3 linked regions of the Drosophila melanogaster genome follow. The protein of the gene in region 2 interacts with the protein of the main gene of each other region in a pairwise test. Each region holds a gene or a part of one and is shown on either strand. Other genes may lie near its edges.

Region 1 (3,762 bases), on a different chromosome or scaffold from region 2:
TGATGAAAAAGATCGTGATTATGACGAAGGCGATGGGCAACCCACACGAAATGCTAATGAATTGTTATCAGTTAATTGTCTGAGCGGGGTACCCGGCTTTGTTATCTCAGCTCTTATGCTTTTATGCTTTATTTGAATTCGATTTGGGAACGCGGCGTGGGTGTTCCCCAAACCCAAAGTCCCCACTCAAGTGGCAGCTAATAGCCCAATAAATTGTGATTGTCGGCGGCGAGGAAACCGAAGCAACACACACATAATATTAAGAGAAGACCGTAGTACCTTTGTGCAGCTAAGCGAACTGTCAATGGCTGGCACATTGTTCGATTTATGACCATTCTGTTGGCCAGGGAATGTGCAACCAGTTTATGGGATGGATTCGCACGGACGAATGCTGAATGCTGGATGTTCCACAGCGCAGGCGCAAATCCTTTTGACATGTCCAATGTGCTCAGCATTTAGACAGTGGGCAGCTATTCTGTTGCCAGTGGCTAATAGTATGTGGCAATGCACTTGGCGAAACTATTGTATCTAGCACAATCAAAAAAGTTATATACAAAAGTGATTATGCTTAAGGAAAGTACTGTACATATATAATATAACAGACTTACTTAGGACATGAATTAAAGTACATTTAAAACCTTTATCATGTTTAACCCATGAATTTTTGATTAAATCTAGACTTAGTGGCATTTTTCGAGTGTGGTTGACAGTAGCACTCTTATGATGACAACGACAGATCCAGCACCCGATATGGACAGAAGGGCTGGAAACGAGTTCTTCTTCGCTCTGGGACTCGGATTCTCGATGTGAAAGATCAGCGAGCCGTGGCCTAAACTGGCTGCCCGGCAGCGGTGGGTAAATATTTAACTTAACAACTTGCCACCGACCGAAGAAGATGCAACAAAAGCAGCCGTGGCCGCAAGAACAACAACGGCGGACCATAAAAAGCACAAACCGCAACTTCCAAATAGTTTGAACTGTGCAGAGAGTGCAGAGATGATCCTCCTATAAACAAAACAGCTGTAACGCACTCAAAAACCAGCCAACGACCAGCCGAGGGCATACCTGCCCACTGCGCCGCCCACCACCCACCACTGCGCCCCTCAGCCCCACCACAAAGAGTTCTTCCGCCTGGCGAATTCATCCGCTCCACAGTTGCATCGAACAAAGGAAGCCAACTTGTGCCCCCATCGGTCCAATTTCGTTTGAGCGAACCAGCCAATGTGCACCGAACATGGGCTTCGACTGGTCTGACAGTGCAGACCAGCTGGCTATTTCTAGCTGTAAAAAAATATATACAGATTATATACAGACTAATAAGAATACACCTGAGAAACATATTAAAATTCCACTGATATTTAGCAAGATAAATTGAGTAGTAAAATCTTACATATTTGTAGAAGTTTGTGTGGCTTCTTATTTTAGAGAAATTTACCCTTTTCAAAATTTTGCTAAAATATCAGGTAAAGATATTTTTAAAAACAAATATATATGTAGATTTCAGAAAACTCGACGTATTTTCTACGGCATCTACAGTTATCCCGATTCCAAAGAAGTAAACAAAAAGTAAAGTGTGCTACTGATATATGAATGAATCAATGTTTAAGAAAATAACTAAATATTTACCGATGTTCGGAGTGTTCAGAGTATACAATCTATATACTTTTGGCTCCACTTTCCGACTGCACTGGCAGCGCCGTCGATCGCCGATCGTTAACTGGACTTTCGGTTTCGGCTGTGCATTTTCAGTTCGTCTCGGGACTTCTAAGCGATCGGTTTGGATTTCGTTAGCTCCGCCGCGCCAGCTGGAAATTTGTATCTCAAAGATCGCAGCCAGTTCGCTCGGTTTTTGTGCCTGGCATACGGAAGCGGCTAACGCAGAATCCGGAAAATCACAAGAGCCGTATATATTTCACAAATATATATATATAGTATGTTTCGAAAAGGCCCATTCACGGCCATTAAAATATTTTATTGTACAAAAAAGGCACAGTGCCGCGTATCTGCTTAATGTCAGCGCGAAAACTCAATTCAATTTATTGTTTGTGATTGCAAATTTGGCATAATTGTGCTTTGATTTATTCGCGCGTGTTTCGGGTCATCTCTATAAAGAGGAATTTTAAATCTGGGCAAGATTATCTCTGTTTTTCTCTGAACACTGGCTGGGTCAGTTGGAATTTGTTCGCCGTGTGTAAGTCACATGCAAATAGCTTTAATTAATTGCAATTACTTATGATTTGAATGTGTGTCAAAGCGCGGTGCGACATTTCCTAGTGCATTAATCTTGCTCAAAATCGCATTGCCTATCCTGTCTAGGAGTTACATGTCACTTATGGACGTAATTTGCATTTTTGTGGAGCGGCTAACTAAGTTGGCTTACCATTTACATATGCGCTTTGGCTGCCAAACAATGCCATAAATGGTCTAAGAATTAATTATCGTGAGAACTTCAAGACAATGTCTTTATTAAATAATTGTCAATAATTCTGAGTAGTTTTCAATGTACAATTTGTGATAATTTTCTTGGTAATTTTCTACGGTAATTTGCACCTTGATAAAAAGTGTTTAAGACAGTGTAATTTGTTTCCGTGTTTTCTTCAATGCAAATTATTTATTTCGAAATGGCAATAAATTGCTCAATAAATTTTATTTCTTTCAACAATGATCTGATAAAGGATTAATTCATTGCTTCGTTTTTGCGTAAACAAAGATTGTTCTGCGGAAATCTTGTAATTTATTTTTACTCTTTTAGATAAGTTTAAAATATATATATTTTATATAACCATTTTTCTTCACTATCGAAATGAACATTTTATAGCCCAACATTATTGCTGACATGAATGCAACCAAAATAAATATGTAAATCTTGTGACGTTATCGCCATCAAAAATTAGTGTAAATAATGTGACAAAGCGGAAAACGACACAAATCAAAAATAGATGTATCAATACTTTCCATTGTTTAGACTAGTTTGGCTAACAATTATGCATACATATGGCTAAATGAGTTTCGTTTTTTTTTTGTTTGCCCCAACGTGCATTCTGCATTCTCACACATATCGTTTGGCAGGTGAGCAATCAGAAATCGAAGTTTGGGGCACGATCCGTGGAAAGCGATCGTGCCTTTCTGCGTATCATAGTGTCTATACAAATGTTATTATGGTTAACGCCACTGGAAAGTGGGGTGGAGTTTGTTGTTGGTTTTCTTGTTTTTCCTCGACTTTGCTAATTAGACAAAGTCATTTCCATAAATTACGCAGCTAACGGTAACTGGGTTTATGACTTTTGTCCGGCTTGGTCGCGGGTCAACATGAACCATAGCTATATGCATACATATATATGGATATATACTATTTGTTCATATGGGCAATGGGTCTGCGGGGCACGTGTGGGCGTGGCCTCCGCCCCCTTGCAGCTGCAAAGCAATTAGCAAAAGACTGGACATGCCAGCAAATTGAGCTCTGCTGTTGCAGTTTTTCCTTTGGCCTTTTTTGGGTCGCTGCAATTGTTATTGAAATGAGTTTTCGCGTTAAAAACAGTTGAACTTGCTGGAAAAAGGTACATGTATCTCACAGTTATCGATCACAAATGAGTAATTGGCCATTAGAAACGGAATATGGTCACAGGATATCAAATAAAATGAAATTATTATTGAAGGCTATACTCAGCAGTATCTGTAATTATAAATCCATTAAATCTAAAATTGTGCAATATTTTTCTCAGTGTGCTAAAGGGGGTTGGTGAGGCATGCGACTTTTGAGAT
Region 2 (2,829 bases):
ACGAAATAAATATGTATACTATTTTAACTTTACAATAAACATTTTTACCAACGGTCTTTAGAAGCCAAAAAAAAAAAACAAGTATTTGGGACAAAACAACAAAATTTTGATGCGAGCAGCACAAGGGTCGAGATGAGAATGATATATTTTCCGAACTTACAAGGTTAGGTGGGTCTGACAGGTCAAGAACGATTTCCATAGCCTACTATGAATTCGAATTATGTTTATGTACAGCGGTTGATGGTTAAAAATAGTTATTATTGTTATAGAATTATTGTTATCGGACATTTGTCCGTTTGCAGACAAATACTATTATTGAATGAGGTTTAAATTCACGGTTGCAGGTTTTATACCCGCCACTCGTAGAGTAATAGCTATGCTATAGTGAATAGAAGAAAAGGTTATTTATTCTTGAGCTGGATCACAAGCCTAGTCGATATGAACGTAGGATGTTCCTCCGCCCCCTCTAACGATCGCAATCCACCAAGAATTGACAATTTTAATTTTCGCAATTATATTACATAAATTATTATTGTCACGCATTTGGTATCCATAGCTAAGACAAAGGTTGCACCATTTAGAAGAGAAAAACCATCGGAAAAGGTATTTTGAAATTCTTATTTTATTGACTAGGCCCGCGAGCTAAGAAGAGTTTATCCGCATTCAGTCCTAAGTTCCACTTTGTGGTTCACAGGAAAAAGATATTTTACATGTTGTGGTTGTTGTTCAGCACCCGCAATATGGCCTACAAGGTCCACAGCAAGGTCCACAAGGCCCGCATGGACCACAGCCCCCGCAGCAAGGACCGCAAGGACCGCAAGGGCCGCAAGGCGCACAGCAAGATCCACAAGGACTACAGCAGGAACCGCAAGGACCACAGGGTCCGCAAGGTCCGCAAGGACCGCCGCACGGGCTACAGGGTCCGCAGAATCCAAGGGGTCCGCAACACATGATGGTTCCGTAAAGTTCTAAGAAAAATTTTGTTAAAACTTCGCATGCTTACACTTTGAGAAATACTCACTTTGAACCTAACAAAGAAATAACTTAGGACGAAAAAATATTTCGATGATTACAGGCCGAGAACCAAAATAAGAATGATGGAAACCTGACTCACAAGTTGGTATATGAATTTGACAACTGTCGAAAATATCCATAGCTAACTAGATTATGGGTTTTGGGATACCAGAATATAATAATAATAATGAATATAATTTGTCGGATCATATTAGCCTTGAAATTCTCATGACTGCTGTCAAATGAAGCTTCGGCTAATTTGGATCACATTCAGTCAGTTCTCCGTTCCACCTTCAATAGTTAACACCTAAATTTTCGGTTCCTTTCGATTCCGGTTGGGAAATATCTTTTAAGAAACAAAATCATGTACATGTACGTCAACCCGAATTACGTTTTGGTTGGGGTATGTATTTATCGGTCTCGTAAGTCGAGTGAATACTTTTAATATGATTTATCAGGGCCCCTGCTGTGGCCCCTGCGGCGGATGCGGACCCTGTGGTGGATGTGGCCCCTGCTGTGGTGGGTGTGGCCCCTGCTGTGGTCCTTGCGGAGGATGTGGACCTTGCTGCGGCGGCACCAGCAGTTTTTGCGGTTGCGGTCCTTGCTGCTAAACCAGTTGACCCGGAAACCTGTCGGAATACTTCCGGGAACTATGTAAATCTCAAAAAATAAACTGTGTGGGAGACAACAAATTATATATTTTTGTTTCTTATTGAAATTAATAATGTAATGTCCTAGTCAACGTAGCTTGGTAGTAGCGGCATCGAGTAAATCAGCTTGTTCCAAAAGTTCGGATGGCTTCTCTCCAGATAGGTGTTAAATGCCATGTAGGTCCTTAGCTCGCTATCCAGACTGTCGAAGTTCTTCACGTTTGGATAGAGCACCACTATCAGACGCTTGCACCGATCGCGTGAGGTGGCGTGGAGGGCCAGTCGGAACTCGAGGCGACCCCAAGTGGAATTCATAAAGTTCTCTGTCATGAGGACAATAATGCGCCGCGAGTCCTTTATAGATTGACCAATGCAATCGGGAATAGATTCGCCCGCCAGCCAGTCTCGCAGGTAGAAGCAGAGTTGGAACCTGGGCCTACCACGTTCCAGCCTATCCACGAACTCCTCCAGCAGAGCCTCGTCCTTATGGGTAAACGCCAGAAAGGCATCGAACCTTTTGTCCTTATCAAGTTCCCGCTTGGCTGACAGACTGAGACACACACCGTGCTCATAGAACCAGACCAGGACCGGTTGTCTGAACCATATCAAAAAGTTTAAGGCAATGATCGTGGCCACTAGGGAGATCGCGAGTGCCAAATAATAAAAGAGGTCAGATGGACACACAATATGCTGATTAATCGAGACTAGCTTCTCACCATTACTGCACTTTATCTCAGTGAAGTCTACTATACTTGAAGACACACTCTTCATGAAATTTATCTTTTCTATATCGTTGCAAGAACAAGACCAGGGATTGTCAAGCAAATGCAGCTTTAACGATCTGTTCTCGATAGAAGAACGATTCTTCTGTGACAGGGCCGTAAGGTTGTTATTCCTTAGGTCCACATAGGTAACCCTGCTTGAAAGTGAAGGCATCTGTAGAAGTCCTTCTCCTCTGCAATCGACAATAAATGATGGCCATGTCAAGTTATCCAAGCAGCAGACACAAACATCTGGACAATCCGTTGGAGATATATTGCAACGTTTCAACGTGACGTCATACTCAAGGGGTTCGTGATCTCTCAAAATGGAAAGGACTGATCTCGACTTACAGTCGCAATTCCAGGGATTCCCAGAAAGTTTAGTTTTAATTGAATTTTTCTTA
Region 3 (3,762 bases), on a different chromosome or scaffold from region 2:
GACGCATTTTGAATTTAAATTTTGCATTTGAGACTAAACATTTTTATTAAATATTTAGATAATAAACACATTCATATCAATATGTTGTAAACTTTAATATAAAAGTTACCAAAACTAAATTTTAAGATAAATGTATTGTAACCAGAACATACAAGACATAAAATTTAAATAGTTTACACTTTCGATAATGTAGCGAAATTATTCAACTTTTCTCGCAGTGCTGGGAAAAGAGGACATCATCCTAGGAGGACGAAGGGCGCAGCTGACGAATTGTGAAAAAAGTCTGACGGAGGGAAACAAGATGGTGGCACCACCAGAGCCCCTTCCCCTCACCCCACCAGTTTCCTCCCTTTTCCATGGGTCTATAATTTTCTGCTGCGTTCACACGCCATAGTCGCATTTTTTTTCCAACCATCTTTTGTTGTTTCCTTTGAGCAAACATTTAAATTAAAAACATTTACATACGCCGGTGGGCGGACAAAAGGGAGGAGTGCCAGGAACCCAGATATTCAATTATGATTTTTCAATTGGAGGACCCAGCACACGAGACACTTTCTCAGATAAGTCCTGTCGCAGGACTTTTTGTTTTTTCTCTTGACGGTCTGGAAAATTATAGGGTGATGGTTAGGATGTTTAAAGGACATTTAAAGGGAATGAATAATTACAAGAATACAAATACATAAATATATTTTTCTTGGAATTTGGTGAAAATACAACTTGTAACGAAACAATTCAATACATTTTTCATAGCTCAAAATTGTACAATTTTTTTGAATAAAATGAGAAAAATGTGGAAACAGAAAACATTTCGAAATATTTTACATAAAATGCTGGCAAACAATAAAATGATGGCAAATGCGGGATAACCCCTTTGTTCATTTTTTACATTAATTTCCTCTCCTGAATTTTATAGATTTCCCTACCATGTTTAAATATGCTTTATAAGGTTATGTTTATAAAACATTCATTTCAATGTTATAGGTTAGTTCTTAATATAAAATCGTTTATTTAAGACTTAAAAAATATGTAATCAAGAACAATAATATTAATTTCAGAGATACCATGAAATTAAATATTATTAAAAGAATTTTTCAATATTCTCAATTTATACAGTAAACGTAACTAGAACGAAACTCACTCGCTTTTCCACTCAACTCAGTGCGCTGTGGTGAATAGCCAATGAGAAACGGAATGGAATCGGACCGAGTTGAGAATAATTGTAAATAGTCGACGAAAAGCGGTGAAACACACCCCCAACCCCGACCAACAAAATCCACTCACACTCACCATAGCAACAACAACAATGAAGCAAAGAACTGTCAACAGCCAAAAACAAAATGACGAATTTATGAACTCCTCAGCGCGCTCTCTTTCGCGCTCCCTTGCTTCTAGCGGCACGAGTGAGATGGCAGCAACAAAAGGCTCTCACTCAAATACGGCTATATAGAGTTGTCTCGCTCTAACACGCGGCTAGCTTATGAATTGGTATTGTTTTGAGTGCATGGGAATGTGTGTTCGAATTGGAAAATGGAAATGAGTTATGCCTCGACGCCGACGTCGCTGCAAGCAGCATGGGAATGCACTGCATGTGTGGCCATCTCGCTCACACCAGTCTAATTGAAAACCGTATTTTTTCCCATATTTCTTTTGCGGTTTAAACTGGCGGTTTGCCTACGTCACGTAAGGAAAGTTTCGGGCCATGTTCTCTGGAAATGTTTCCTTACGTCGCGTTACGTGGTGTTGAAAACCTTTCGCCGTAAGACACATCAGCTGTTGTTGTTTCTGTTTTGGGGGGTCAGTCGACGTCGCAGTTGGCTTCGCTGTCGGCGTCCTCGTATTTGTTGTTGATTTTTGCGTTGCGTTTTTTTGTTGGTTTTGTTGGCTTTGGCTTTGGCGCTTTTGGCGTTTACATGGCGAAAAGCGAATTGGGATTCATTCAATGGTCAGCTGCGTGACTGTGAAGCAGCGACGGCGCTCCGGAATTTCCCGTTTCCTACTCGAGAATACGCAAATTACGATAAATAGCACGAAAAACCGGAGACCGCAAATACGGGCGTAAAGTCGTCAAGTCGCAAAGTGTGTCGTAAAACGTTGGAAAAAATAATACACATTATTTGCAAAAAAAAATTAGACAAATTTTATAATATTTTATTATTTAATAAAAAATCAAACGGCACAAGAATAATAACATACATACATATATAAAAAGGAAGCAAAGCAACTCTGTGTGATAAAGCAGTTTAAATTATTAAAAGCAAAAGCCGGCAAAAAATCAACAAATATGTTGAAGAAAATTGTAAAGAATTCAGTTTAAATCCGAATATAATATTTTAAAGAGCATTAAACAAACAAGTCCCAAAATAGTAGAACTAATGCAAATACAAACATATCAAATAATGGGCAACAAATAGGCAAACGATAAAGAAAATACCAACAAAAGCGGGAAAGAAAGTCCGAAACCTTTGAGAGCATATATTTGGCAAGAATTGGCTAAAATCCGTGCAGCAGCATTACCAATTGGTCTCGGCCCGAAAATGCTTTTGAGCAATCAGCCGGCGAATACGAAACCGCAGCAAACGCCTTCGCCGTCGCAGACGCAGAACTTCAAGTCGAAGCTGCAGCAGCAGATTGTTTCGGCAGCGGCGGCGGCAGCGGCGAACATAGCCAACGGCAGCAGCCATCATCATCATCATCAGAACCATCATCATCACCATCCGCTGAACAACCATCATAATCACAATCACAATCAGCACAACATTTCCTTCGCCACGGATTTCTCAATTGCGGCGATTATGGCGCGCGGCGGAAACGCCCCAAGCAGCCGCGAACCTTCGGAACGCAGTCTGAGTGAGTAAAGTAATTCCCGCACTAAAATATCAGGCCTACATCGCAAACTAGACTCAAGAGCTGTTCAAAAATAGCCAATGCATTTTAGGGCTTCATTTTCGATTGGGTTTCAGAACAATAAGTATCTTGATATCGTTAGTTTGCATGAAACGAGCTTAAAAACCAATCTTCATTTGAGTCCCATCGCTTCATTCATGAACGTATGTTTCTTATGATTCTTGAATTCATATTCAGCTCCTTACTACAAACAAGTTTCACTCTATTAACATATTCAATATTCCATTCTTTCGATTGAGACTAATAAATTGGCCAGTCAAAGTTTGAAAAGATTTTAACTCTGGCATATCTAGCATGTTGATGTTTATCCCAAGTTACGGGCTTGTCTGCTGATTTAACTATAAATATTTACGATCCAGGATTAAAATATGAAAGGCTTGATAAATGATTGAAAATAATCAAGCTGTGACGAAGAGCCAATTATCACATTTATGTATTATTTATGTGAATTTTTTAATTCAGATTTCAGATACAAGATTAGGAAAGTACACTCAAAATCGAAATAGAACTCGATAAAATCACACATAAGAGCAGAAACAAAATGCATTGCCAGAAAAATATATGTGTAGCAAATTGGCTTTGAATACTTGAGACTTGATGAAGAACAAAAGCAAATTAGTAGGTTAGTGTGCTAGCAAGAAAATTGAAATGTAGTTGATATTTCTATATATTTCTAGAAACACGTAAAGCAGTTAGGAAAATATATAAACATATTTCATTGGCTTTGGTAAAGAGTCATGTAATCGATTGCTTAGTAATATTCACTTGCTTTATTACCCACCTCTTGAAAAACTGTCGCAGCTGCATTACATTTCTATATTTTCCACATTTTTTGCTGCCCTTTTTGTGCAATATAAA

The links.
Region 1: the proteins of Mst84Db (region 2) and slow interact in a two-hybrid assay, tested with the Drosophila melanogaster proteins (one large-scale study listed by BioGRID).
Region 3: the proteins of Mst84Db (region 2) and H15 interact in a two-hybrid assay, tested with the Drosophila melanogaster proteins (one large-scale study listed by BioGRID).

Annotation. Positions count from the first base shown.
Region 1 is NT_037436.4:4,382,697-4,386,458, forward strand, and holds the start of slow (slowdown), read left to right. Parts: upstream 1-1,745; 5' UTR 1,746-1,931; exon of another isoform or gene 1,932-2,191; intron 2,192-3,762.
Region 2 is NT_033777.3:7,364,555-7,367,383, forward strand, and holds Mst84Db (Male-specific RNA 84Db), read right to left. Parts: upstream 1,074-2,829; 5' UTR 1,022-1,073; intron 969-1,021; 5' UTR 952-968; coding exon 727-951; 3' UTR 606-726; downstream 1-605. Other genes in the region: Mst84Da (Male-specific RNA 84Da), read left to right, coding at 1,379-1,417, 1,473-1,625.
Region 3 is NT_033779.5:5,402,346-5,406,107, forward strand, and holds the start of H15 (H15), read left to right. Parts: upstream 1-1,934; 5' UTR 1,935-2,534; coding exon 2,535-2,847; intron 2,848-3,762.